7 linked regions of the Cricetulus griseus genome follow. The protein of the gene in region 1 interacts with the protein of each later gene in a pairwise test. Links are inferred from orthologs where the notes say so. Each region holds a gene or a part of one and is shown in the gene's direction. Other genes may lie near its edges.

Evidence for each region.
Region 2: the proteins of Ldlrad1 (region 1) and Pln interact in binary tests that used the Homo sapiens proteins (3 or more experiments, as listed by UniProt). The link is inferred for Cricetulus griseus from reciprocal best matches to the Homo sapiens genes LDLRAD1 and PLN.
Region 3: the proteins of Ldlrad1 (region 1) and Bnip3l interact in binary tests that used the Homo sapiens proteins (3 or more experiments, as listed by UniProt). The two-hybrid records come from large-scale screens. The link is inferred for Cricetulus griseus from reciprocal best matches to the Homo sapiens genes LDLRAD1 and BNIP3L.
Region 4: the proteins of Ldlrad1 (region 1) and Mall interact in binary tests that used the Homo sapiens proteins (3 or more experiments, as listed by UniProt). The two-hybrid records come from large-scale screens. The link is inferred for Cricetulus griseus from reciprocal best matches to the Homo sapiens genes LDLRAD1 and MALL.
Region 5: the proteins of Ldlrad1 (region 1) and Adgrg7 interact in binary tests that used the Homo sapiens proteins (3 or more experiments, as listed by UniProt). The two-hybrid records come from large-scale screens. The link is inferred for Cricetulus griseus from reciprocal best matches to the Homo sapiens genes LDLRAD1 and ADGRG7.
Region 6: the proteins of Ldlrad1 (region 1) and Vti1b interact in binary tests that used the Homo sapiens proteins (3 or more experiments, as listed by UniProt). The two-hybrid records come from large-scale screens. The link is inferred for Cricetulus griseus from reciprocal best matches to the Homo sapiens genes LDLRAD1 and VTI1B.
Region 7: the proteins of Ldlrad1 (region 1) and Bnip3 interact in binary tests that used the Homo sapiens proteins (3 or more experiments, as listed by UniProt). The two-hybrid records come from large-scale screens. The link is inferred for Cricetulus griseus from reciprocal best matches to the Homo sapiens genes LDLRAD1 and BNIP3.

What each region holds. Positions count from the first base shown.
Region 1 is NC_048595.1:42,609,450-42,613,414, reverse strand, and holds part of Ldlrad1 (low-density lipoprotein receptor class A domain-containing protein 1), read left to right. Parts: intron 1-52; coding exon 53-178; intron 179-3,093; coding exon 3,094-3,231; intron 3,232-3,965.
Region 2 is NC_048595.1:255,659,388-255,662,015, reverse strand, and holds Pln (cardiac phospholamban), read left to right. Parts: upstream 1-1,579; coding exon 1,580-1,738; downstream 1,739-2,628. UniProt on the Homo sapiens protein: Reversibly inhibits the activity of ATP2A2/SERCA2 in cardiac sarcoplasmic reticulum by decreasing the apparent affinity of the ATPase for Ca(2+).
Region 3 is NW_023276807.1:221,982,774-221,987,563, reverse strand, and holds the start of Bnip3l (BCL2/adenovirus E1B 19 kDa protein-interacting protein 3-like), read left to right. Parts: upstream 1-1,575; 5' UTR 1,576-1,671; coding exon 1,672-1,768; intron 1,769-2,099; exon of another isoform or gene 2,100-2,123; intron 2,124-4,790.
Region 4 is NC_048599.1:50,860,152-50,864,898, forward strand, and holds the start of Mall (MAL-like protein), read left to right. Parts: upstream 1-1,378; coding exon 1,379-1,489; intron 1,490-4,747.
Region 5 is NC_048597.1:35,383,178-35,387,973, forward strand, and holds the start of Adgrg7 (adhesion G-protein coupled receptor G7), read left to right. Parts: upstream 1-1,819; coding exon 1,820-1,934; intron 1,935-4,796. UniProt on the Homo sapiens protein: Orphan receptor.
Region 6 is NC_048598.1:124,473,626-124,477,149, forward strand, and holds the end of Vti1b (vesicle transport through interaction with t-SNAREs homolog 1B), read left to right. Parts: intron 1-946; coding exon 947-1,008; intron 1,009-2,201; coding exon 2,202-2,298; 3' UTR 2,299-2,513; downstream 2,514-3,524. Other genes in the region: Arg2 (arginase-2, mitochondrial), read right to left, coding at 2,747-2,952. UniProt on the Homo sapiens protein: V-SNARE that mediates vesicle transport pathways through interactions with t-SNAREs on the target membrane. These interactions are proposed to mediate aspects of the specificity of vesicle trafficking and to promote fusion of the lipid bilayers.
Region 7 is NC_048596.1:62,076,714-62,080,925, forward strand, and holds part of Bnip3 (BCL2/adenovirus E1B 19 kDa protein-interacting protein 3), read left to right. Parts: intron 1-2,911; coding exon 2,912-3,059; intron 3,060-3,663; coding exon 3,664-3,745; intron 3,746-4,212. UniProt on the Homo sapiens protein: Apoptosis-inducing protein that can overcome BCL2 suppression. May play a role in repartitioning calcium between the two major intracellular calcium stores in association with BCL2.

The sequences.
Region 1 (3,965 bases):
CTGGGTGGGATCCAGGGGATCCCTGCACCTCTCATTATCTTCCCTTCCACAGGCTGTGGCCCCTTCTGCTGCTCACGCAGAGGGGCCTGCCTCTCGGCCTTCCTGATGCTAGTGCTGGCCATGCTTGCCACCTTGCTTGCCGTGGCCACCATCCTCGGACGTCCACCCCGCATACCAGGTCAGGGTGGCAAGAGGGAGGCGTGGTGGCTCAGGGAGATGGGAGCCCTAGCGTTGCCTGGCTTCTCTCTGAAGTGGCTTGAGTGGTTCCTCATGGTACAAACACAGACACCTGTGCATGTATGGACACAAGTCTGAAGAGGCCTTTTACACATCCTTGACATGCGTCATTTTACATTTTTCTTTTAGTTTTAAGGTTTATTTTTATGTATACGGGTGTTCTGCCTGCATATATCTCTAGACCACAAGTGTACCTGGTGGCCAGGGAGGACAGAAGATGACGTCAGACACCTGGCACTGTAGCTGCAGATGGTTGTGAGCCTCCATGTGGTTGCTGGGAATTGAACCCAAGTCCTCTGGAAGAGCAACAAGTGCTCTTAACCACGGAGCCAGCCCCAACATGCACTCCCGAGAGGTCGTGTTTTTGCTGTTACTTCCTCTAAGAAACTCTCTCTGTCCCCTGAGCTGGGCTAGGAGCTTCCTCAGCCCCCACAACCAGCGAGTGCACTCCCTATTCCCTACCCTGACCACCTGGACAGACCAGGCTGTGTTCACAACTTCCCTGTGGTCTGACTGCAGTGATGAACCCCCCAATGCAAGTGGTGAAACCCCCCCAAGGCCTAACGGGGGTCAGGAGTCTGGAACCAAGGCCCTCATCCGATCAGTGTGGAGGGAGGGAGGGAGCACTATGGGGAGTGAAAGAGACCCAAGATGGGAAGAGAAAGTGGAGATTGTCAGGAACAGCATCCCAGGCACAGGGAACAGTGCGTGTGGAGACCCTGTGATGGGACACGTGAGAAGGAAAGATGGCAAGAAGCCAGGTGGATGTGAGTGGGTGGGGTCAGGCGCCCAGGACCTTAAAAGCTGCACTTGGGAGGGTGGCCATGTTCCAAGAGGATTGTCCCATACTTCTTCCTTGCTTTTTGAGAGATGGCTCCATGGCCAGGCGGGGCCACTGCAAGGGATGAGGAGGAAGTGTGAAACCACAGCATTCCACCCTGACAGTGTAGAAGCGTGAACTGGAGCCATGGACCTGTATATGCAAGCGTGTGTGCATGCATGTGTGCACATGTGTGTCAGTGCTTGTGCATGCAGATGCCTGCCTGTGTGCATGTGTGTGAGTGTCTGTATGTGTGCAGGTGCCTGGCTGTGTGCATGTATGTGTGAGTGTCTGTATGTGTGCAGGTGCCTGCCTGTGTGCATGTGTGTGTGAATGTCTGTATGTGTGCAGGTGCCTGCCTGCCTGCCTGTGTGCATGTGTGTGTGAATGTCTGTATGTGTGCAGGTGCCTGCCTATGTGCGTGTGTGTGTCTGTATGCATGCAAATGCCTGCTGCTTGTGTTCACATGTGTGTGTGTGTGTGTGTATGCCCATATGTTGTTGGGGTTTATTTTGTTTTTGGCTTTTTGTGTTTTTTTTCTTTTTTTTTCCTCTTTGGGGGCCTGCCACCCAACTCCCAAATAAATACATGGAGAATTATTCTTAGTTATGAATGCCTAGCCGTAGCTTGACTTGTTTCCAGCCAGTTTTTCCTAACTTAAATTACCCCATCTACCTTTTGCCTCTGGGCTTTCACGTTTCTCTATTCTCTATTCCTTTCTTTAATTCTTACTCTGTAGCTGGTATCCTCTCTCCTCCTTTTCTTGATCCCCTTCTGCCTTCTCCTCCTATTTATTCTCTCTGTCTGCCAGCCTCACCTATTTCTCTCTCTCCTGCCTCGCTATTGACCGTTCAGCTCTTTTTTAGACCAATCAGGTGTTTTAGACAGGCAAAGTTACACAGCTTCACAGAGTTAAACAAATGCAACATAAAAGAATGCAACACATCTTTGCATGATTAAACAAATGTTCCACAGCATAAAAAAAAAAGTAACACATCTTCAATATTCCACAGCACCCATATGTATGCAGGTTCCTGCCTGCCTGTGCCCACATTAGTGTGCATGCCAGTGTGTCTGTGTCCATGTGTCCGTGTCCGTGTCCGTGTCCGTGTGTGTGTGTGTGTGTGTGTGTGTGTGTGTGTGTGTGTGTGTGTGTGTGTGTCCATGTGTCCATGTGTGTGTACATGTCTATCTGTGCATCTTGTCTTTATGCGTGTGCCCGAATGTGCAGGTGTGTGCATGTGAATGTGTTCGTTTTCCTGTCTGCTTCTGTGGCAGTGTGTGTCCCTAAGAGTGCTTCCCATGGCTCGTGGAGGTTGCTCTGGGTATGAGGCACGATGTGCTGACAGGCCTCCTGCTTCCCCTCCCCCATTCACACCTGTGCCCACAGGCACAATCTATGACTCCCATCTCCTTAGTTTCCCCGTTAAGTCTTGGGCTACCTCTAGGGGTGGGTGTCTCTCCTCCTCTGGCAGGGTTTAAGCATACCACTTCTCAGGAGTACTTGGAGGAACAATAAAAACATGGAAGTCTGCAGACTCTTAAGGTATACCCAGATGGGAGGGATTGTGACATTCTGTCCCTAGACGGCACAAATGTACAATTTGCAACAAGCTAAACTGGTTCCAGGAGAGCCATCATTAAAGCCATGTGAATGATGGCACACTGCCCTCAATGCTTCCTGTGTGGCCAAACCAGTGACCCACTCTGCACACCCTGTGATCCACAGTGTCTGGAACTATCTTGTTGTCCCTGACATTCCACATTCCCCTGGGACTAGGCTCTGACCTGTATTTTGGAGACAAAGGACCTTGGCTGGAGGGGCCAGGTTACCTGTGCCTGCTATGATATGGCAATGGCAGAGTGGCAGCTTCAGCCCACAGATGCCATGGAGTTTAGGGCCTCACCACTGCCCCGGGCCCTCCAAGGAGCTCAAAGGGACTCACTGGGGGACCCTGTGCAATGCCCACCTTGCCCATCTCAAGGCTGTCTTTATGAGCACCACCTTCATTCCGGGGCCTCTCTTGATCCTACAGGGACCCAGTCCTGTGTGACAATGACCAACAGGACAGGCTTCTTATGCCATGACCGAAGGCACTGCATCCCAGCCCATGGGGTGTGTGATGGCATTCTCACCTGTCCCTATGGTGAGGATGAGGATGAACGCTTGTGCCGTGAGTACACCCTCAGTTCCATGTCCCCCACAGCCCCCTTAATTCTCCACACAGTCCTGCGGAACATTCTTAGGCCGCCTCCATGTCCCCGTGCCTATGGTGACATGGTGCCTTAGCCAAGACCTTCTGCTATACATTGGTGGATCTTTCATTGTCATTTCCACTCCCCAGAATCTGTGGCCACCCTTCAAGGCAGAGTTCACATGATACCTCTTCCTGGAAGCCTTCCCTGACTCCTGCTGGAGGTCAACAGTCCTTCTTTAGGCTCCTAAAGACCCTTACCTCCCTGTGTCTTGGCCCTAGTTACACTGGCATCACCTCTGCTACCCCCATCAGCCTGTGAATGCCTCTGTGGCAGTCTGCTCTGGACTGCTTGATACTGGAGTTCTGGTATTGGGATAAGGATATCCAGAATGACTTGCTGAATCAATGAGCAAGTGAGTGAATGAATTGGAAGGCCCCATACCTTAAACACCTGTTTTTAGGAGAAGAGCCTGGCTGTGCGAATGCACAAGAAAACATGAATGAGTGAGGAGACCCGAGGCAGGCAGAGAGCTATGAGGTTGAGGCAGGGGTTGGGACTTTAAAGAATCATTTAGCCCGAATCCAAGAGTGGTGGTACACACTGTAATCTCATCACTTGGAAGGTGGACACAGAAGGATCAGGAGTTCAAGGTCATCGTTGGCTACACTGCAAGTTTTAGGCCAGCCTGGGCTACATGAAACCCTGTATC
Region 2 (2,628 bases), about 210 Mb from region 1:
TTCTAAGTTACAGCAGCATGAACTGATAAGAAAAATGGTGCATCAGTATCCTTACCTGACAATTCTGAAGCATTCATTACCAAATAAACACAGGAAAATAAAGCCTGAGTATATGCTCCTCCCTCCCCTCTCCCCTCTCCCCTCCAGAGTCGCAGTCAACTGAGGACCTCTAGTGCTGTCTAGTGTGTACTTCTCCAGAGCTTTAAAAAAGAGCTGAGTAGGTAAGCAGGGGTATATTTGCTAAGTGTTTTTCAATTTTTCTTAATACTTCCCTAACACTCTCTCCCTTCAATCTCTTTCTGAAGCCTCAATATAAGGTTAAAAACACTTTCATGGTGGCACACAGCTTGAGAACAGATTTGGATATAAATTGACCCTGTGTGGCTCTTTATCATAGCATACACATGAAGGACAGAAACACACACCAAATGAAAATCCAATTCACTACTACAATTCAATAGAGCCATGCTGAAGATCTGAGAACTATGCCATCTTTATAAAATAAACACCAAGTTCTAGCTGGTTCTGCTTGATGCAAATCTCCCCCTTTCTCAGTCTCCTTTCTCCTCTCCTCAGCACTTGTCTCAGATGTGGGGACAGCAGACTGAGGTGAGTTCCCAAGAATGCAGAGCCAAGGGAGCAAATCCAACTGCCAGCGAGAGTCTATAATAATATCCTGCTGACAGTGATGCATCAACAAATTAGACACAGTGGTCTCTAGACAGTAAATCATTGCATTTTGTTTCTGTTTATTCTTCCTGTTTTAAAACTGACACAAAAATGTTCTGACAAAAAACAAAACATTAGCCCAGCATAGTAGTATAGGACAGTAATCCCTTTACTTAGTATGCAAAGGCAGAAAGGTGGCGGCCTCCAGTTTGAGGCCAGACTGATTACTGCCTTCGGACAGTACACTTAGTTTATTAATAAGCTTTATTGTTTATTAATTATCAACTCTTTAGACCCTACATATTCAGCAATGGTTTAGGAACTTTGAAAGAAGGCCAGACACAAACCAGGTAAGCAAGATTAGCTGAAAATCGGAACTGTCCATGGTAGTTTTGTACAATAATTATTACAGTGCCTTCCAAGCTTAGCAGTCTTTAGTATTCATTATCATGTACAGTATTTAAAATAGTAGGGGGCATCAAAGGTATAAATCATAAAGAAGAAGGCAAACAGCTAGAATTTGTTTTTTTTATTTCATGTTTAACCAAGCTTTTAATTTACTATATGCATCTCTTTGTCCTGAAACACTTATGTTTACATCAGAGAGATAGCATTCCATAAACCAAGTAATACCTGCCAAAAACCACAGTTCCTACAGCTCAAACAGGACAAATGGGACTGTGAAGTAACATACGAGATATAGAAGCAGAGACCATGGAGCCCAGGGACAGTTGATGTCATAAAACACAGAGACCCAGAGAATGGGTATGGGTATAGGTATTAACCTGGTCCATTTACTGTTTTTACATTCCAGGCCTCCTAACAGAAGACAGCTGCTTACACTTGCCTGCTTACAAGCAGCTCTTTCTTTCTCTTGACCACTCAAAACTTCAGGCTTCCTGATTGCATCATGGAAAAAGTCCAATACCTCACTCGCTCTGCTATCAGGAGAGCCTCAACTATTGAAATGCCTCAGCAAGCACGCCAAAATCTCCAGAATCTATTTATCAATTTCTGTCTCATCTTGATATGTCTCCTGCTGATCTGTATCATCGTAATGCTTCTATGAAGTGCTGCCACCACCTCCAGGATCTGTAACATGCCAGTTCAACTTCAAACCAGCACTCCCTCAAGAGGAGAAACAATACAGCCTACTCCCTGTCTAGAATGTCTTTCTAAAGGTCAAGATTAAGAGGGAAGCAAATTGTTAGCCAATGTATTCACCTACTGGATCTTGTAAACAAACTTTACAATGACTAAGTGTGCATAATGTAGCTGCCAATTTCCTCAAAATGGCCCATAAATATCTTTCCTAATTATTTCTGACCATGAAGTATGAATTTTAATTTTGAAAAAGCACTACAAAAATGTTCACTTTCTACACCCTACTGCTAAGAAGTTCACCATTTTTTTTTTTACAGGAACTAAGTATTTCTCAAGTCTCCACAAAACTGATCATCTAAATGAAGTGTTCTTATTCAAAATAGCTCACTGGGTCCTCACGTGTATGGCTACTATTATTATTACCACATTAGTTATGCTGTCAGAATAAATACCTTGAAATAAAGATCATGTCATTTATCTATACACTAATATTTTTAAGCTTATGAAAATCAAATAGGTAAAAGATCAGATTCTCATATTTCTCAAGGATAAAGGAATTCAAGTACATTAAATAAGTTAACCACAAATCTGCTCTCTCTAGGGCTTTGTGATCAACAATCAAGAATATCTTACTGTGTGTCTGTGACAATTACTAACCATGATAGGATTTCTCCTGTTCCAATCAAATTTCCAAAAACGGTATTATTTCAAACATTGTATAATTACAGGAAACAGTATTATTTCAAACATTGTACAATTTTAAATTCTGAACTCTCTCCAAATACTAATTCTTCCATTTTACTTAAGTGTGAAATTTTATCCTGCATATTATCTGTAATAAGACTCAGCTGTCTT
Region 3 (4,790 bases), on another chromosome or scaffold:
GTAGATATTTATCATTGGGTCAGTTGGCTATAAAGTTGGGAAGAATCAAAGACAGTTTACAAAATGAAAAGTTAATTTCAGGGGAATTAAAGGAGCATCTAATGTAAAACAAAACCTAAGAGAATTAGAGTTTTACAATAAATTCATAATCCTTAAAAAATTATTAATAGGACAGGAGAGATGGTTGAGCAGTATATAGCATGTGCTGGTCTTGTAGAGGACCGGAGTTTGATTTTCAGCACCCAGGTTGGGTGGCTCACAACTTCTAGAAAGTTCAGCACTAGCGCGATCTGTTACCTCTGGCCTCTAAAGGCAAACATGTGTAATTAAAAATAAATCTTAGACCTGGGCGTTGGTGGCACACGCATTTAATCCCAGCACTCGGGAGGCAGTGGCAGGTGGATCTCTGTGAGTTCGAGACCAGCCTGGTCTACAAAAGCTAGTTCCAGGACAGCCTCCAAAGCCACAGAGAAACCCTGTCTCAAAAAACCAAAAAAAAAAAAAAATCTTAGATTATTGTGTACGTGTGTATGGTTTATAGGGGAGGGCACAGGCCACGGTTCATATGTGGAGGTCAGAGGACAACTTTGTGGAGTTAGCTTTTCATCTAACCTGAGTTCTGAGAAACCAACTCTGTCATTAGGTTTGCACAGCAAGCTGAGCTAGCTCACTGGCTGGTCCTAGAAGTGTGGATATTCCCAGATCATAGTTTGTTTGGTTTTGTTTCACAATTACATGAAAATTTTCAACTTTGCAAACAGAAACAAAGTTAAAAGACAAGTACCGTATTGAGAAAACTTCCTATACAAAAAACCAGGTCAGGGAAATTTGGCAAAGATAGGATGTAGGAGTATTTAGGAACAGTCAGGAGCATACAAGAGTTAGATCATTTCCAGAGATTGGTAAGCGTCAGGGTTTGGGTAGATCTGGTTTTTGTTGTTGTTGCTTTTTACTTTGTGTTTGAAGGCAAAAGGGCTTGCGCTGTAGCCTAGGCTGCAGGGAACTCGCTATCCTCCTGCCTCAGCTTGCGCGAGGGCTGGCTTGACAGGTGTGCGCCACGCCCAGCCATTATAGATTCTTCACTAGGATTGCATGTTACCTTTGCAATTAAAATTTCAGAAATTCCAGGCGGGTGATTAGCTCCAAGGTACCTCACACGGTGTCCTGTGGGAGGCACGGACGGATGTTTCACCAAGGGAAGGAACTGGGGTTTTCTGCTTCTTTAAAGCCAAGGTTGAGTTCTTACGTGTCCGCTGCAGGCGTGGGAGGGACTCCATTCACGCCCGGCGCTTCCGGGCTGCACTCTCCTCCCTGGACCAGACACAAGGCCAACTGCCTAGCTCAACCCTTGTGGCTAGTGCGACTGACTCTCAGGAATTCGTTCCCAGCGCCCGCCCGCCGCCCGCCGCGTCAGCACTACTCAGGCACCCGCACGTCCCGAACAGCCCTCTAATGCCCCGCCCCAGGCCGTCCCGGACACGCCCCCTCCCCGCTCAGACCCCGCCCCCTGCCACCAGTGTTGTCATCACGTGGTCTGGGAGGGTCCTGATGTCACGCGGGGAGGGACTGCGCAGACGCAGAAAAGGGGGCGGGGGGACTCGACTTGTTGTGTTGCTGCCCGAGAGCCGGATACTGTCGTGCTGCGGCCGCGCCGCTCCCAGTCTCCCGACCATGTCTCACTTAGTTGAGCCGCCGCCACCCCTGCACAACAACAACAACAACTGCGAGGAAGGGGAGCAGCCCCTGCCGCCGCCCGCCGGCCTCAACAGTGAGCGCGGGGCCGCCGGGCTCGGCGGAGGGATGGGGGAGGAGGAGCCGTTCGGCCGCCGCCGCCGCCGCCGCGCGGGGGGGCGGGAGCAGACGGCAGCCCATTGGTCGGGACCGAGGCTGCGCGTGTGACTGACAGCGGCGCGTTCCCGTCAGGAGCAGGCGCTCGGCGCTGGCTCGCGGCCTGCGCTCCCGGCGCCGAGGCTTAGGGTCGCGGCGGGCGTCGGAAGCGGGCGGCGCGCGCAGCTGGGGGCGGCTGGGGCTGACGGGCGGAGCGGGGCCGGGAACGTGCGGCGGGGACGCCGGGAGATGGACGCGGCCCGCCGGGCGTGGCGGGTGGACGTGCGGCAGCGCAGGTGTGCGGGGCTCGCCCTATACCACATGCCAGTCCAGGGGTCAGCGGAGTTTTGTGCAGGGTGCTTGTACCGCCCCTGTCATTTACCTTTTTTTTTTTTTTCCTGAGAATTTCCCAAGTTCCTTAAGTGAGTTTTTTTTAATCGTTGTTGTTAACCTGGAATTATTTTATTTTAGTACCTTTTCTTTTTTGAGACAGTCTCATGTAGCCAAGGCTGGCCTCGAACTCGCTGTGTAGCTGATGATGAACTGACCCTCCTGCCTTCAACCTCCCAAGTTCTGGGATGACAGTCATAGGCCACCGTGCTCAGGGCTTTTCAAGTGCTGTTTCTTGTGTGACATGGATTGAGTGGCCAGCCGGTCCCCTCAGATCACACCCATCATCAATCTGGGCAGTGGACTTTGGGAAATACAGTGAACAACACAACAGACCTAGGACACAAGCACTGGCACTTGAAAGTTGATGGTCAGGATGGAGTTGCAATCAAATGGAGTGCACTTCTAACAGACGTCTTGTCCTCAGAGTGTCCCCTGTTGTTGTGAGATCAACCGACCTTCTTGCCCAACCTTTCTGTACTTCGTGTCTTATGAAAGAGGCAGTGGGGGTAGTTGGCATATGGCAAGGCAAAGTTCTTTAAAAGCCATTTGGATGTTTAAAGGTCAGGCGGTGTCTTTCATAAGAGGGGGTGCTTCAGGCGTGGCCAGATAGTTTGACGAAGAGCTGTTGCTGAGCCTACAGGATGAGAAGACCATTTGGGTATTTTACCTCATTGTGGTGGCGCATACCTGTCATTCCAGCAGTGTGGAGTAGAGGCCAGCCTGGGCCCCAGAGTAAGACTGTTTCAAAACAAAACCAAAAAATCAGTAAATAAAAAGAATTCAGGTATTTGAAGATGCTCTGCCCCTGCCCCATCTTTTGATAAGACACATCTCTAAATGCTGGTTTTTAAAAAGATTTAGTCAGTGTGTCCTTAAATGTTACTCCTATCACGTAATATTAAATTTAAAATTTTCTATCTGTCCTTAGCATACATTTTTAGAAATGATGAGACAAAAGAGATACCTGTTGTGTTCTTCCTAGAAGTGGTGCTTGTGATTTGAGTTCCCACGGTGCTTTCAGGAGTCTTGTCTTGGGGTGTGCGTGCTTATTTACATGTGTGCCTTCTGCCTGGTCCCTTCTGAGTCAGTTGTGCTCGGTGTCTTCTTAATACTTAAGTGTTTGGTCAGTGTGGGTATGTGGTTTCACAGAATACAAAGGGATTTTTACTTTCCTTAAGGCTTTATTAACAACAGAACCAAAAAGGGTTGAGCTCTATGTGATTGTTTATCCCAAAGTCTGACAGAGCTTTGATGTGTTTGTCATAGGCCAGTCAGCTTCTGCTTCATTTTTAGTGGCTCTTACAGGAGCAAACGAACCCCCAGCCTACATGTGATACCAGATGTTAGTTTGGAAAGTCAGCTAGATAGAAAGCCTTGGACTTGGGCTAGGCTGCCCTTTTAAAAGTCAACGAAAAGCTGTTAGATGATGCCAGGTTTAACTACTGGCCTTGCCTCTTTGTTTGCTTTGTAAAGCTCATCATACAGCCCCGAGTTGAACAAAACAAGCAGTATTGATTCCTCCAAGTGATTTTTTTTTTTAAGGTGCTGAGCAAAACAGTTTATTCAGGAATTTAATACTATCTGAATTCCTGATAAGTCCAAGTACTTTGCTGGCTGCAGTTCCACAGCTGTGGAAAACAGAAGCTGAAATGAATGCAGATTATCTCTGGCTTGAGATTTTTATCTTTAGTTCAAGAATCATGGCAGAGGAGGTTTTGTATGGGTGTGCCTGCATGCATTTATACTCACCGTGTTCTTGCTGGTGCCTACCAGGGCGGGGAAAGGGCATCAATTCCTCTGGAACTGAAGTTAGATGTGGTTGAGATCCTCTGGAAGAGCAGACACTGCTCTTAACTGTTGAGCCATCTCTCCAGCTCCACAGCAGAGTTTTAATAGCAATTTTTTGAAATTTCTTTTTTTCTTTTCTTTTTCTTTTTTTTTTTTTTTTTGGAGATAGGGTTTCTCTTTGTAGCTTTGGAGCCTATCCTGGCACTCGATCTAGAGACCAGGTTGGCCTTGAACTCACAGAGATCTGCTTGCCTCTGCCTCCCATTAAAGGCGTGTGCCACCCACGCCCAGCTTTTTTTTTTTTAAATTTCTTAAAGATTATTTTAAATTATATACCTATGTATCTCTCACTTGAGTGCAGATACCCATAGAGTCCAGAAGAGGGCATTAAGTCCTTGAGAGCTGGAATACAAGCAGATGTGGGGACCAGGAATCCAACCCTGGTCCTCTGTGAAGAGCAAGCAGTGTGTGCTCTCTTAACAGCTGAGCCATCTTTCCAGCCCAAATTATTGATGTATTTGAAACAGTGAAACCTTTCTCTGATTCTGTTGTTTACCACTATAGAGGAACTGTTCAGTTTTATTACAAATTGGAGGACAAATACCCAAACTTCTCCCAAAATTAAAATGATGTTTCCAGTTGTTACTTTTATAATTAAGAAAACTTTTAAGTTTCTGAAGAGATGAGTAAGACACATAGGAAACTGCACAATTGGCATAAGGAAGATCAGAGTATCGAAGCTCTTGTGTAATTGGAGTTACTGCCTTTCCTTTTGACAACTC
Region 4 (4,747 bases), on another chromosome or scaffold:
GCCAGGGAGGTGGCTCAGCAGGTAAAGACACTTGTCCCTACAGCCTGATGACCCTAGTTCTATCCCTAGAGCCGGTGTATAACTTCTTACAGCTTAATAGCAGCTTCCCACTGCCCCATGTAGATTATGGTCAGATCAAAGGGGGCCCACAGCCCCAAAGAGTGGTGTGCTGCTTGTCCCTGATATTCAGAAAAGGTGGTGAGAGGTGAGATTCCAGCAGAACATAGTAGCTTTGGCACCATCCTGTCAACAGTGTAGGGACCTGAGAGTGGCCTGTAAGCTCTGGGACTTGGAAAGAGTTGAGGATAGGCTGTTTGGGGGCTACCTGTTGCCTTTCCTTGCAAGGCTTTGGCTTTGAGTTTCATTTAATCCACCTCCCTGGCTGGCAGAGACAATTGGCTACTCCTCCCACCTTGCCCAGGACAGGCCCTGGAACTCCCTGCTGTTGCTAAGGAACAAGACACATCCTGTCACCCCAGTCTTCGGGACAACTCTCCCGTGCATCCTCTCCTCTGCCCGGGGAGGCTCTCCAGCTGGCCTGCTGGAGCCAAGGAGGGAAGGAAGAAGACTCTGGGGCGCCAGGCCTTCCCTCAGGGCGGTGGAAAAATGAAGGTTAGTGGGTTGGAAGGTAAAGAAGAAATCGGTCCAGTCTCCAGACCTGGCTTGCGTGTGAAAGAAACAGCTTTGTGTGGAAACACAGCAAGGCAGCCAGCCCTGGGCTCTACTCGGGAAGGAACTGCTTGGCCCCAACCCTGGGTCCTAGCTCGACTAGGAAGACAGCAAGAGCAAGACCCCAAAGAGTGATTCAGTTGGGACAACACCAAATCCCTGAAGAGGGGAGGTGTAATGCCTGGCTGCTTCAATCCCTCAATTAGAATCCCAGGGTCGCCTTGATGGGAAGAAAGGCAATCTGTGTGACCACTCTGTGACCTTGACTGTACCTTTTTCTTATCCAGTCTCCTCTCTTGGAAAAGTATAACATAGCCACGTGCTGGACTGTCTGAGCTCCAGAGGTGTCTGTGGATGGTTACACATAGTAGGTCCTCAATAAATGTATTTTATATCAGCAAAAACAAAAACAAAAACACTGCTTACATCCTGAGTGTAAAGATCAGCAGGGGCATGGCTGGATACCTCCTGGAGTCGTTTGCTCCAGGGAAAGTCTAGAAAAGAGCCTTCACGAGGCAGCACCAGTTCCCTCTCTCTGGCTGGCTGGCCGGCTCTGTGCAGAAGGACCTGCTCTTCTGGAACCTTTCTTTTCCCCTCCCAGGCGACGTCCCTCGTCCGATGGGTGTGTCTGTCGGGCGGGAGGTGATACTTGAACAGCTGCGGGCGCGGGCGAGTGCTGTGGAGCAAGGATACCGGCATAGGTGACAGCATGGCTTCCCGGGACACACCGCCGGCCACCAGCTATGCCCCGCCCGACGTGCCCTCGGGGGTCGTTGCTGTGTTTCTCACCATCCCCTTTGCCTTCTTCCTACCGGAGCTGGTGAGTGCGGCTTCGGCCACCAGCAGGGAGGGAGGGGCTGGGAACCACTCCTGTGCTACCGACCTACCGCCACCCGCCACCCCCCATCCGGGGATGGGGTAAGGCAGCTAGCTACGGGTGCCCACTTTCCATACTATCTGCCTGACCCCAGGCTGTGTCCCTCTAGAGCGAACTTTCCTCCTTCCCAAAGAGGAACCTTCCCCAGGACACTCGTTTATTGAAGGTGTGCAGCCACCTTCTAGATTACCCAGACGTCTCGGAATATTCTATTACCTGGTTTCTTTCCACCTAGCTGTTTGTACTTTCCTAAAGTTCAAAGAACCAGAGGACTCTCTCTCTAAAAGGCCTTCTAAAAGAAGTTCTCCGAGTATTTCTCAAAGTACATCAGCTGACTTTGAACTTTGATTTATGTGTCTCCACAGAGGAGGGAGCTCATGACAGCACCGTCCATAAAACAATCTCCTGAAACGCCCAAGTTACCCCAGAGAACTTGTTATTGCCGGACTCTGGGGCACCCCACAGCAGAACTGGGCTTTATTCCCTGCCTGGGCTCAGCCATGCATCCAGTAGAAAACAGGTTCCCTCTGCTCCTGCAGTATCTAGATTGTGCGTGATTTTTTCTTCTGAGCTCTGAATTTGACAGTGCTGCCTCTGTGTCGGGAGGAAGACTCAGAATAGTACATAAAACTGGCACCAGTGGCCAACCTTTTCCACTCTCTTGGTCTCCTCGAAAGGCTGGGACTGATGGAGTGAATTTTAGGCAAATTGGTTAAAACAGCCATTCTTGTTCATCAAGAAAGGGAAGCCAAGCTAGCTGAGCCCCATAGTTGGGTGGCTTTGGCAGAGACCCCACCTAAGAGATAGGTTTCTTTCAATCCCCCACAAACGTGGGCATCCTGCCAGGCTGATCACATTCTGAACTCTGTGTGCCAGGCCCTGGGTGTGGCCCTCACTTTGGAGCAGCCACATGTATGACAGGACAGAGCTGTCTCTGCCACTTTTTATTGAGCATATTCTTGCCAGTCACACAAATCATTGTAGGAATGGCGGCTACCTCCCAGGGGTCTCTGTGAGTGTTTTCTGGGTGGCTTAAATGCAGCACCAGCAAGAAGAGATGGCCAGTCCCAGGTCAGGGAGGGCCCAGGGCTGTCCCTGGGAGTTGCCACTCGAAGAAGGCTGGATGGCTGAGGCAGCAAAGCAGCCAGGTAGAGAACTGGCACTTGAGGGGCCCACAAATGTCCCCACCTGTCCTCCTTCTGCAGTGGATTCCTAGAAGAGTACTATCAAGGTGTCCTGGGACTTGGAGGAAAAGAGGACATTGTCATTGGTTTGGTTTTCTTGACTTATTTTTAAATAATTTTAGATTTCTCTTAAAGACACAGTAGCAGTACAGGAAGTGTGTATCACTCTGAACCCCACAGATCTCCCCAAGCCAGGAAGTTAACATTAGCACTCTGCTGTTGACCATTGTTGTCATATTTGCTCATTTCCCCACTAATGGCCTTTCTCTGACCCAGGGTCCAGGCTAAAACTCCTCATTGTGTTTGGTTGTCCTTTTCCCTTCATTCTGGGGCGGCTCCCCTGCCTTCATCTTGGTGTTCTAGAGAAGGGATTAGTCCATTAGGGCAGTACCCTTCCAGTTAGCCTTGCCCCAAATTTTTAATTTGCAAGTCAACCTTATTCATTGTTTAAAACTTAGAAAATACAGAAGTGGGCAGGACCTGTATGTATGCATGTGTTCACAGGTGGAGCATGTGCAGCGTGTGTGTGTGTGTGTGTGTGTGTGTGTGTGTGTGTGTGTGTTGAGTGCATCATTCTGCACATGCTACTTGTACCCGCTGTGAGCAAGGACTCCAGAATCATGTGTGCCTGGATGAAAGACGGGGAAAGAGGGGACCAGGTTGGGGAAAGGATCAACTTTTGATTCCATGAACGGAAGCTAGGAAAACGTGTATTTGTGCTGAGCCAGTTTGGCTCAGACCGGTCTTTGGCTTGGGCAGTCTGATGTATCCCCCTCTGCTATCCATGTGATCGATGTGAAAGCACCATGCCTCCAGGTACTCCTGACCCTTCCTTAGTCTTCTGGTCTGAGACAAGGGTCTATAGAATGGATTAGAAAGCAGCGAGGCCAGGACACCATTGCAGAGCACAGAAAGCAATACCCAGGTATAAGGTGAATACCGATACGGAGCCAGTAGAGATATTAGGGTATATTTATTAGGGAGAGCCTTACTCACAGAGCAACCTAGCCAGCCGGAAAGAAACGGAGTAAGCAGAGCAAACCAATGAAGCAGGGAAAAAGAAGGGGCTCCCAGGTGCGCGTCCCTCACGTCACCCTGACCATGCCTGCCAGGACGTGGTCAGGCACACCTGTAGCCAGCCCCGAGGAGGCGTGGTTACTGTGTCCCCTACACCCAGGAACTAGGGTGCAGTGATTCTGCGGTGGAGTAGCTCGGGGTGACATCACACAATGGTGTCTTCAGTGACCTTCCCAGCCACCAGCAGCTGTTGTGGAGCACCACATGGAGCCGGTGGGCAGATTCATTGTCAGATCAAATCCAACAAGCTGGGATCTTCCCTGATGGCCATAAGCCACACTCTGGCTATCATGGAGGTACGCCTCTGGCTCTTTGTGGCTCTTGAAGATGACAGGCCAGGTAGGGTAGCTCAGGCTTCCAGTAGCTTACTCTAAGGACCTTTGCCTACAATGCTTTATTTACCGATCTTCAGCATTAATATTTGCATTTTAAAACTTTTTATTCTGTGATAATGGTGGTTCTATAGGAACTTGCATTCCCTACAGTTCCCCAGTGGCCATGTCTTTCCTAACTAGAGTTGTTTTAAAACTGGGAAACTGAGGTTGGCGAGACAAATCTTCAGTTTACCCCTGTAGATTTGTCCGAGAGCAAGGTTCGGGACTGTCTCATCACACCAGAAGCCCCCCTTTTGCTACTCTCTGGGGACCCCAACCCATCCCATGTTCCTTATCACTATTCCAACAGTTTGTTAGAAATAAGTACTTCTACGGATAATTTTTTTAGTTCAAGAAAGTTATATAAATAAATGTAATTGAACAGCATAGGACCTTTTGAGACTGGATTCACAGTTTGTTCCTTTTTATTGCTGAGTAATATTCCACGATAAGGATTTTTCATAATCTAACCACCTCTATTGAATGTTTGCAGTTCTGGGCAGTCTCGAATAGAGCTGCTGTTGGCATTCATGTTCTGGCTTTTGTTGGAGTACATTTTTCACTTC
Region 5 (4,796 bases), on another chromosome or scaffold:
GGAATAAAGAATTTTTACATTTCTTGTACCTCAGATCCTTTGAATTTTCATGAAGAAAATTTTTTACATGCCCTACTCTTAGCCATTTCTGGTAGATAATATAGACGTATTGGAATAATTATTATTATTCACAACCAATGGATAATGAACATGGATTCATTTGTTTTGTTCTTCTGTAGCAGTCTCTAAATTGTTTCATTCTGTGACATATTAATGTGTTTTCATGAAGCTCTGGGATCAATTAAAATTAGGACTTTATATTAATACCCCCAAGGTTGTACTTTAGAAAATAAGTACTATTGAGAAATTGGAGATAATATGCATGCAATTTCAAGGGTTAAACAGACAATCAGCTTAAATGTAAAATTTATTTCATAAATCTGCACTTGATACTCCTGGAAAAGAACTCTGTGCTAATTACATTTGTTGTCTTTAACAGTTGTGACCTGTCTTATCAGGGGTGAACTCCTTGGTTTCTCACCCTGAAGAGAATATGAATGCTTTGAGGACCTGTCCCTGCCTGTGACAGTCCTGACATGGCTACTCATTAGTGTCTTCATTTGAGACTAGGGAGGGCTGGGGAGAGGAATACCAATCCCAAGAGTCACCGCTGCAGCTGCGTAGAGGTTCTAGTTTGTTCATAGACGTTCTGGTAGAGGATTTCTTTCCTAAGATTGTTGTAACAAAGTACCACAAACTGTGTGGCCTAAATAACAGGAATGTATTTTTCCTTGTGTTGTGGTGACCTCACAACCATACAATTATTTTTCATTGCTACTCCACAACAGTAATGTTGCTACTGTTATGAATAATAATATAAGTATCTGATAAGCAGGGTATTTGATATGTGACCCCTGAGAAAGGGTCATTTGACCCCACAGGGGTCACGATCCACAGGTTGAGAACCACTGTTTTAAGTGACGATGACATCGAGGTTAGTTCTTTCCAAGGGCTCTGAAGGAAGGCTCTGCTAGAGCCTTTCTCTGTAGACTTCCTTTGCAGTTGGTTGTCTTATCCCCAGTCTCTTTATACATTGTCCTTCTGTGCACTTCTACACAGATTTTCTCTTTTAAAGACACCAACCATACTGGAATAAGGCCCACTCTATTGTCCTGAATTAAATTAGATCATTTCCCTACCAAACTGATCTTCAATCAAGGCCACGTTGTGGGTGCTTTGGACTCCAACACATGAATGTGGAGACATAATTTAATCCATAATAGAGGGGTCGTGATTCTAGGCTCCAGTGCTTTTTGTAGTTCTCCCCGAGCCAAGAAGCTCACTCACTAATTCCAGCTGTTAGCATGTGAGGAAATGCAAGCAGTGAAATCATATGTGGCTACTGCAGTTATCATCTCATTTGACAACATACTTTATTTCTCCAGGAAGGTGTGTGGAGGTGCTGAAGCACTGGCTGAGCTGTGGACAACCAGAGGGATCCGTTGCCTTCCTGACTTCCTCTTTGGGTTCTCCTTGCTGGCCTCCTTTCTTCTTGTCTGGAGATCCACCCTTTGACCCTCTAGGCCAACCCCTCCCCTTTTTTATTGCTCTCAGTTGATTTCCTTTTCTGAGAATCCCAGACACCTGATCTCCCTCGTTGAAGAGTGAGCACACTGCAAGCAGAAACACACCTTCTATTAGGTCGTTGAAACTACTTTACGCTGAACTAACCTCAAAACTCTTCAAACATGAGAACGCCTGCCAGACGGACCACTGAAAGGAAGAGTTCTTTTCATGTTTGATAACCGTCTTTGATGAAATCTCTTGACTTAAGAAACTAGCTGTTTCACAACGAGTGGTGGAGTGGTTTGGCTTCAACATGCGTTCCTGCCATTCCTGCAACATCCGGGTGCTGGTGGCTATTGTGTGTGGGTTGCTGACCGGCGTCATTTTGGGACTGGGCATCTGGAGGTTGGCAGTCAGGATCCAGAGAGGTAATGTCACCCTGTTAGAGTCCTCTGGGTGAGGGAAGGTGGTGGCAGAGCTTGAACCTTTGACTCTGTCACCTGATACAGCAGTGCTGGGGAGGACCTTTGCCCAGGCAATGGCTGCCTTCTATAATGCCATTTATGAAGTGTAAGACAGCAGTTGGTTAGTAGCTACTGGGCAGCTGTATGTATAAATAGATGCATATGTGTGAATAAGCAGGGTGAAGAAAGCATTTTGAATTGGCTTCTTTGTGCTATTCTAATTACTATTTGATAGAATGAGTAATAGTAGAAATTATTAACAATGCATATTTGGGTTTATTTAGCTAAATCCTAGAAAGGTAAATAGTTATGAGCACAGATTCCCAAGTAACTATATACAACCATGTAGAAATTTATCTCAAGAAGGAATCCAGAGATGTTAGTGTGGTTGTGTGTAAAATGATGGTGTGAAAATAAAGCCCTTGAGAATTTAAGATTCCCCGTGGAAGGCCTCATCCTCCCTGGGGAGCAGAAAGGGAACGGGATAGGAGGTTAGTGGGGGGCAAGGGAGGAGGGAAGGGAGAGGGAACTGGGACTGACATGTGAAACAAGCTCGTTTCTAATTTAAATTTAAAAATAGAAAAAAGAAATGGAAAAGAAAAAAATCAAAAAGAGTGTTTCAGTTATTCTAATGCTGTATCCCTTGGCTTCTGGGGAGTCACTATAAAGCAGTGATTCTCGACCTGTTTAAGAAAAAATACAGAAAATTTCCAACTCCATTCTGAGAAAGTCTCAATGAAAAGCCTATATTTGACTACAGAGAGAGCATTGATTCTTACATTTAATTTTTATATACCTTACAACTTCAAAAACTCTTACTGGGACCAAGATAGCTCACTCAGAACTTCGGGCGCCTTCTCTCACTTCATCCTGACAACCACATTTGAAGCAGGTAGCATTTGGTTGTGTCACAAATGGAGAAACTGAGGCCGGGAGAACATTTTTACATTTATATAGTTGTGCAACGCTGGCTGTGGATTTGAACATGCGTCATTATGGTCCCAGTGGTTTTTTTTTTTTTTTCTGAAAAATAAATGAAACTAGAGTGAATTAATTCACCCCCCCCCCTTTTTTTTTGAGACAACAAGAGCGAAAATTCCAATTCACAATGGTGCAGTAAGCACAGCAATCAGAGTTCTCTGTTGTCTTCATGTCCATGATTCTCCTGTGTTTTTGCAGTCTGGGGAGTATAAAAAGCTCCCAGCTTTTCGGAGTCTTCTATGGCGTCTATACATTTCTGCTGGTGCAGAAACTGTTGTGCTTTCACCATCGTCTGGGAGACTGTAAGGTGCTTTCTTCAGTTTTGCAGCCCCATCATTTGTCTGTTTTGATCTTCTGGTGCAGAACAGCAAAAGAAACTTCATTTTACCGTGCTTTTCATCCAGGCCATTGCTCGATTTCAACGGGAAGGCAAATTGGAAATAGCCAACAGGTCACAAATCAAATCAACTCTAATTATTCTAAAGTGAACCACAGGTTTGAATGTCAAGGAAGCACTTTAAGATGTGGTTCATAGAGTTTCAGAGACCTGCATAAAGTAATTTTAAAATTCATTTTCTTGTGTTTCTGTTGCATTCGAATGGTCAGGTTTTGCTGTTATAGGATCACTGGGTTCTGGTGGTACCATTTGCTCTTCTGGTTGTTGAATGTATTCTTACAATGGCATTTACTCATCTTTTCTTCCAACTGGTGTGGCTTGCTCCTGTGCCTACATTTTTGGGGCCTGGCTGGCCACAGGGAAGATGTTCAGGTGCGTGGGGTTGGGTGGCACAGTGGGTCGTGATGTGACAGTGTCAAGTGGGTGGCTGGGATTGAGGCGCAGCTCGAGGCAGGTCTCTCACTTGCTTGCAGGCTGGTGGGGAGTGCACCAGAGCAGTGGAAGTCCACCAGAAGTGGGGGCAGGGTCCAGCCGCCTTGATGGTGCTGGGAATGGAGGGGGCCCAGTGACCTTCTAGGAGCAAATGGAACTTTTAAAAGTCCCACTCCTGTTTCTGAACCAAGCCTCTTGTTAAAAGGTCACTGCCAATTAAGGCTCTGTTTTTGACAGTTGATGTTGCTGCACAGAAGTAGCAGAGGCTTCTTTCAGGTTTGCTGGAGTACTCTGTCATTTTTATATGACACTGATGGAATTATTAAGAATGATTTTATATATTGTCATGTGTAATATGTCATCTATGCTCTCTAACACTTTCCAATGCTGTCCAAAGACATTTCTTTGGGCAAAGTAAACTTTCAATAGTATTGATAACTTCTGCAATTCCCAAGAGGAGTTCTAGACTTGGTTCCTTCCCTGTAGTGGTGGTTTACCTACAGTTCCTACAGTGGTGGTTTACCTACAGTTTCTACAATTGTAGTTTACCTACAGTTCCTACAGTGGTGGTTTACCTACAGTTGCCTTTACCCCATTTCACATGAGTATCTCATTTGATGGTTTAGGCCTTCAACTGAATTCACCATTTCTTTGAGTTTTTAATCCCATTTTCCCTCTTTTTACACATATTTTTTTTTGTCACGAGTCTCATTACTGACAGTTTCTCCATCCTTACTTTCTTTGTGGAAGAGAAGAGAGGCCTGATGTAGAACCCTACCAGATTCCCTACAACTAGATTCGAGTTACTTCGGTGAATAAATAAGTCTTACAAAAACTAGAAGGTGGTCTGTTAAGGAGACTATAACAAAATACCACAACCAGGTAATTTATAAACAACAGAAATCTCTTTTCCACAGTTATGGGCACCAGAGAGACTGGGGAAAATGAGCTCCAGCTTCGGTGTCTGGTGAATGTCTGCCTCTTGGTTATGGGTGTCTTCTTGCTGTATCGCCTTT
Region 6 (3,524 bases), on another chromosome or scaffold:
ACAGATTGTCTAAGTTTTGGGTCTTGAGTATACTTTGTAGATTGGTTGAACTTAACACACCAAAGATTGATCTGAGATACAGCAAGGAACATCATTGAAATTTCCTTCTGCTAACTAGATTAGTAACAGGTAATCAAATGAGAAAGGCACATTGGGACTAATCCTTTCTCCATTAAGTGTAACCACTCAAGCAAGGATTAAAAAAAAAAAAAACCAAGATCCCAGGAGCATTGACTTGACTTGCCAGTCTACAAGGCAGCACCCTTGTAGAGGACCCAGAGCCGGGAGATCCCATGCTCATTTTTGACTTGTGTGGGCAGTAGACACACACTTGTGCAAATACTCATACACATAAAATAAACCCTTACAAAGAAAAAGTAGCAAACACCAACTCAAGAGACTCTCAAGATTTGAATTTTGTCAAACACTAGTTGTCCTACAGTCACTGGCCAGGTACAGGGGAAGCTTTCCTATTTGGCAGTCAGAAAGGTTTGGTGTTACAACTGTGACACTATTCTCTATCACCTCCTCCGCCCCTCTCTCTCTTCCTTCTCCTCCTGTGACAAGGTCTCATTCTGTAGCCCTGGCTGTCCTGGAACTCATTGTGTAGACCAGGCTGGCCTCAAACTCAGATCTGCCTGCCTCTGCCTCCCATGTACTGGGATTAAAGGTATACACCACCATGTCTTTAACCTTCCTGTTTGAATAGCCAAAGTGAATTAGTTTTCTCATAGCCACCCCAGTCTTACAGGAACAGTGTGATACAGTGATTCCCTCCTCAAATGAGCACACACACACCCACATTGACCTTTCTAGCTCCCTTCATTTATACTCAGGTATAAGCCGTTAAATTCATTGATTTATTAACAATGACCTTTACTTGCCCACTGTTCAGATTCTATAGAATGTCTTGAAAGAAGGAAATGATTGTTATTTTCTCTTTCAGCTGGTAAACACAAATGAAAACTTGAGCAAAAGCCGAAAGATTCTCCGCTCAATGTCCAGAAAGTAAGTTTCAAAAAAGAAAAAAAAAAAGAAAGCCCACAACTCCTTGAGACTTAATATATTTCAACTAAGAAAGCTTAAAACAGTAACTTAGCAAATGTCCTAATAAATAACCTCAGTGTTATACAGCACTCACCATCCAAAGAATATAGATTTGTGTAGTTAAAAATCTCAGGAAGGCTATCTGCTGGATAATGCTTATCTCCATCTCCATTTCTCAGAGACCACCTAAGGAACTGATGTGCTCTCTACTTCCTGAGCAGCTTTGTCACAGGCGGTAAGAGCACTGATAGGGCTTAGTCCCTGCCTTTCAAGGCAGGCCCTTTTTGGGAGTGCTGTCCTGTTAGCAAGAAGTATTCAAATAAGCTGGCAGGCAGTAAAGGTGGTTGGGGGTGGGGGGAGTTGAGAGGAAGAAGCATCTCTAAAGTTGTCCTCTGGCTGCCACAAGTGAATTGTGTGTGCGTGCACACGTGGACTAATTAAAACAAACCCGAGGCAAGTACTAGCAGCAGCAAAAACAAGGCCAAAGGGGAGTAACACTGGGGTAACCTGTGTGCATAGTAGTGTGGCATGGCTTTGTGTACATGTGAGCTAACAATAACTACAACAACCCATTCATTTAACTAGTATTTGCAGTAGAATTTCCCAAACCATGGTAAATTCTTTGTGAGATAAGGAGAGATCAGATGATAATCTGAAGTAAATTTTTTAGAGTGGCTGTTCAGATAGCAGAGCAGAGAGGGAGAAGTTTACAAGAGACTAAAAGGCAGTACTCAAGGCCACTCAAGTTACTTGACCTAAAAGCAGGACCCATCCATGAGCTTAATTAACTCTGAAACCAAAGTGTACCCTAAAAACCCTGCTTCCAATATGCACTCAGAGCTGTATGTGTAACTAATAGGACCATATTTAAAGCAGCAGAAATGCAAGTGGAGGCGATTTTTCCAATAAAGAAGCTATGTTTATGTTTTGGTGTTTATATTCCTGTTTCCCACATGTCTGATGTACTAAGTGATGTCCTTCAGTTATAGCTGAAAAGCACCATGAATTTTCACTAGCCAAAGGATGTAGGATTTACTGCTAAGTGGCTATGTGAACAAACACATATTCCATCTGCCTCACTGTGTGCAGCATTAGAAACGGCTAGAAGTAAGGTTACCCAGACTCATGTCTACTTACTGTGCTTGTCTTTGCAGAGTGACAACCAACAAGCTGCTGCTTTCCATCATCATCATCCTGGAGCTAGCCATCCTGGCCGGGCTTGTGTACTACAAATTCTTTCGACACCATTGAACTTCCTGGAGGGAAGGGACTGTGGACCAGAATCTTGACTCCAAACGGTGTTAGGCATATATATTGCTGCTGTGGGCTAACAGTTCAAGAATGTATTGTGTAGCCAGACTATGGGGGGAGGGCAATGGAAAACCACAAATTTGTGAAGGAACAGCGCAAGACCAGTATGATATACTAAGGTAATAAATGCTGTTTATGACTCCTTCAGATTTAAATGTATAACATTAATATCTTGTGAACTTCAAAAACAAAACAAAAACAAAAACCCAAATATACAGTAGTAGTATTGGTCACCAAATAGAGAAAGGAAATTTTACAATTGTGAGAGTGCACAGATGTTCTCATTAAGGCAATGTTGATCCAGACAGCCATTTAATGTTTGTCCACTTAAATGCCTTGCAACTCTGGAATGCCATTCATTGTGAAAGGTGCCAGTGTACAGTATTTCCTAAATCCTCACACGTGCTTCATTTTCTGACTCATCTGGTGAACTAGGAGTAGGAAGGTGGTCATAGACAATATGTCCTCCTTCTCTTGTCTGACCAAAACTTGAAGCAATCACGTCCACTGCTAGGCTGGCCGTAGCCTTGGCCTCTTCCTCTGAAGTGGCCAATTGAGGATTGACTTCAACGAGATCCAAAGCTGACAGCAGCCCTGGAACAATAAAGGTAAGAGAAGACAACCTTAGCAAATTCCCTCACTGCTGCTTTCATTGAGGTTGTTCCACCTGGCAAAAAGTAAAATTGCCTACGGTCAGAAAGCCCTGTGCAGTCGGCAAGATGGCTCAGTAGGTAAAGATGCCTCTCAGACAAGCCTGACCACCTGAGTTTGCTCCCTGGGTCCCACATGTTAAGAGAGCCAATCCAGCAAGTTCCTCCACTGGCCTTTACTCCCCACAAACATGGAAGCAAATTAACTTTAAAACAAACAAACAAACAACAAAACAGCTGGGCAGTGATGGTGCTCGCCTTTAATCCCAGTACTTTGGAGGTAGAGGCAGGCAGATCTTGAGTTCAAGGCCAGCCTAGTCTATAGAGTGAGTTCCAGGGCAGCTAGAGCTACATGGAGACACCCTGACTCAAACCATGAGGGTCTGACAAGATGGCTCAGTGGTTATAAGCCCTTGCTCCTCTGGTTGAAAACCCAGGTTCAGTTCCCAGCACCCACATGGTGTCTCAAATGTGTCTATAGCTCTTAATTCCGAAGATCCAACACCTTCCTGTCTC
Region 7 (4,212 bases), on another chromosome or scaffold:
TACTCACAAGTGCTGGGACTGACAGGGACATGAAACAAATCTCTTAGCCAGGAAGGATTTGATCCTGTTACTCAGGTCCATTTTGTAAGGAGCCCCCTAATATTATGCTAAAGAGATGACTTACTGGGGACCCAGAATAGCTAGCCTCAGGCTAAAGTTTGTTCACTAATAATTTATCAGAGGGTGGAAATTTAGGAGCACCAGGGAAGGAGCTGTAAGTTGGGCTGTTAAAAATATAAGAAACTGCCACTACAGCCCAGCTTTGAACCGGAGTGTTCATGGAGCTGTGAATTGGCACAGGAAGGTGGTGTTCCCTGCCCTGTCTGGCTGCTTCTGAACTGTAGCACAAACTAAGCCACAGGTAGAGTTCTGAGCTCTACCAAAGTATTAAATCTCAGGGGGCTGTGGAGAGCTTGAGTTTGTCTTTTAGTTTTTTTAAATTTGTAATTGACAGCAGCAGTGTGGATAGCCTGTACTCTGCTTGTGGCTGGTGTCTGACATGGGGCATCCTTGTGGGTTTCAGCCTTTAATTTATGGGATTGGATACTAATTTTAGGCGATACTGTCAGAATATAATTGAATTCTTAGACTCCTCTGATTGAATTTGGAAAATTGGTAGTTGGTGTAGGGAAAAGTCTAAATTTGCCATCAGGAGTGGGTGCTGGGAAGAAGATAACACAATCTCAAACTTTGCTAGATACCAGAAAAGATTTGGATAACATTAAGCTTCATAATATACATTGGAACTGGCTCAGATTCTGAATACTAGATCTGCCTAGACAAAAGGAACTGAACTACCCATGGCTGGCTTTGAACTCAGAGCAACATTCCTGCCTTAGTGACTCAGAACTGCAGGGATTCTAGGTATGAGCCACCATCCCTGGCTTCTGAGTATCATCAGCCAGTGAAGGGAGGAAGGCCAGCAAAAGAAATTAGTGTGTCTGGAACTGGAGTGTGGGGATTTGCAGATCTCAGAGGGCACTGGGGCCTCTGCTTGTGTACAGCCACAGAGGGCTCTGGACTCTGCCCTTCTGAGTTGGTATTGTGCTTCATGTGGGCTATGCCTGCTTCTCCATGAGTCAATCTGAGGGCTAATGAGGAAAATTGTGTTTATTTTCAAATTTGTATTGTATAATCATTTTTTAGCTTACTGAGAGGCTGTTGATGGTATAAACTGTAAATCCAATTTATTTCTGAGCTCCCTCCCCTTGTGACCTATTCTGCAACAAGTACACTGGCCAGGTGTTTCTGAGTGTTAAAGCACTTCTTTTTGGGGTTCTGGAAGCTGTATAGTGTTCTTGCTTCCAGCGACCGTGAATGTGTGTTCTGCTTTGGAGACTCACTATGTACCTTTGGCTGACCTGGTACTGGCTCTGTGTAACAGACTGGCCTCAAACTTACTTCTTTCTCTTGAATTCTGGGATTTCAGGTATGCCCCCATCATGCCTGGCTTTTTAAGGGGATATTGTTGGTCACATGTAGCACAGGTCACAGATTTCTTTAAACTGGTAGCTGAAGGTGGCCCTCATCTCTTTTTTTAACATTTATTTATTTAATGTACATTGGTGTTTTGCTTGTATATACTGTGTAAGGGTATCAAATACCCTAGAACCGGAGTTACAGGCAGTTGCGAGCTGCCATGTGGGTGCTGGGAATTGAACTGGGTCTTCATGAAGAGCAGCCAGTGCTCTTAACCTCTGAGCCCCCTGACTCTGAACTCTTAAATCCTCTTCTCTCTATTGGGTTATAGGTACCTGCCACCATGCATAGTTCCTTTTTCTTTTTGGAAATTTGTGGGGGTTTGTGGTTTAGAAACAAAGTCTTGCTTGATGTAGCCCATGTGGCCTTGAACTTGAAGTGATCCTCTTGCCTTTTCTCTCCCTTTTGGTACTGGAGATTGAAACCTAGGGCCTTTTATAATCTCTACCTTTGAGCTATATCTCCAACTCAGATTATAAGTGGATCCATTTCCCTCCTTGCCTCCCTCCCTTGTGTGTGTTGAGACAGGGTTTCTCTGTGTAACAGTCCTGGCTGTCCTGGAATTTGCTTTATAGACCAGGCTGTCTTGGAACTTAGATCCACCTGACTCTGCTATCTGAGTGCTGGGATTAAAGGTATGCCCTATCATTGTCTGGCCCAAGATAGGGACTCTGTAATCCTGGCTTGAACTGTAGTCTTGAACTTGTATAGACCAGGCTAGTCTTGAATTCACAGAGGTCCTCCTACCTCTGCCTCCCAAGCCCTGGGACAAAAGGTGTGTGCCCCCCCCCCCTGGTTTCTCGGATCTTTGTAGCACAAACTTGTAACATGAAATTCTTGGCTAGGCAGGTCCCACTGCCCTTCTCTGCCCCCAAAGAAGCACACGGACACTAGACACTATATTAATTATGAAATTGTTGGCCGTTGGCTAGGGCTTCTTATTGGCTAGCTCTGCCTTAATTACTGACCCATTTCTATTAATCCATGTATTTCCACATGGTCTTTTCTTGCTGGGGATGGACCTGCAACTCCTTTGCCTGCTACATGATGACTGCTTAGCATCTCCACAGAAAGAGAGATATTTCCTGTTTGTCCCTGCTTATATCCGGATTCTGCCCAGCTTTGTCACTTCCTGTCTGGTCAATCAGTGTTTTATTCATTAACTAATAAGAGAAACATACACAGAAGAACATTCCTCATCACAAAATGACCTCAAGGCTGGTGGGTAGATTTCTTTCTTTGTGCGGTTTTTTTTTTTTTTTTTTTTTTTTTTTAAAGAGGGTTTCTCTGAGTAACTTTGTAGATCAGGCCAGCCTTGAACTCACAGAAATCTGCCTGCCTCTGCCTCCCGAGTGCTGGGATTAAAAAGGTGTCTACCATCACCGCTTGACTGAGTAGGTAGATTTCTAACTGCCCTTTTTGTTTTCTTCAGGCTCCTGGGTAGAACTGCACTTCAGCAATGGGAATGGGAGCAGTGTACCAGCCTCCGTCTCTATTTATAATGGTGACATGGAAAAAATACTGCTAGATGCCCAGCATGAATCTGGACGAAGTAGCTCCAAGAGTTCTCACTGTGACAGGTAGGTTTGCTGGATGTCTTCTACAGTGTTGATGTTTCAGCAGATGGATAATAGCAGTTGTGCATGCTTTTGTGGGTGGGCCTCCAGGTCTAAGGCCACATTTGAGAATAACTCTGGAAGCAGCCTTGATATAAGGAACCCTGGAGTCTGCTGGGATGAAGTGGTCTGGGGCTCAGTTTAGAGGGACCATGTTAAACCTAGGGGCAAATAAAAAAGTTCCTTAATATACTGCCTCTGTTTTGAAACTATTCAGTGTGAACACCAAGTCTGGGTAGTTTTGTTCATGACCCCCAGCTGGCTTGTGTTCCTAGGCAGCACTACTAGGGAGTGAATCCAAGGTGTGTGCTGAGAGTCAGTGATCGAAGGTCAGATGTTTCTGAGGGCTATGCAGCAGATCATGCAGGAGGGTGGAGCGTCCCTCAGAACTGTAGCTGGCTCCCTATGCTCATTGTTTGGCCCTGTTCTGGTGTTAGGCACAGGGGAAGAGGCATGCTTCTAAGAGTCCTCTACCTCCCCCATTACTGAGGCAATAGCCCTGCTTGGGATTTATGCTTGCTATGACAGAATTAACATGCTGCTCTGTTTTGTTCGATTCCTAATCAAGTCCACCTCGATCCCAGACACCACAAGATATCAACAGAGCTGAAACAGACAGCCACAGCTTTGGAGAGAAAAACAGCACTCTGGTAAGCCATAGGTAGGAGCATGCTATAAAGTTCAGCATATCATCAGTCTAGTGACTTTTACATGGTATCACACACACACACCTTTGCTCCCCTTTAGATTTTGAGAGTCTCTCATTTAACATGGAGCTTACCAATTTGGCTAGATCACCTGGCAAGTTAGCCCTAGTAATCCTCCTACCTCAGCCTCCCAAGGCTGAGAAGTGTTACACTGTGCTTGGCATTTTACGTGAGTATTGGGGTTCTGTGTTTTTTTTTTTTTTTTTTTTTTTTTAAGTTTTTATTATGCATATACGTGTAAGAGAATATCACATATTCAGGCGGCCAAGGAGTCCAGAAGAGATCACTGGATCCTTTGGAGCTGGTTACTGTGTTATAAGCTGCCTGGTGTGAGTGGTGGGAACCAAACTCAGGACCTCTGCATGAACAGCAGCATTTTCAACCCAATATTTTAGATTTTTATTTAGACA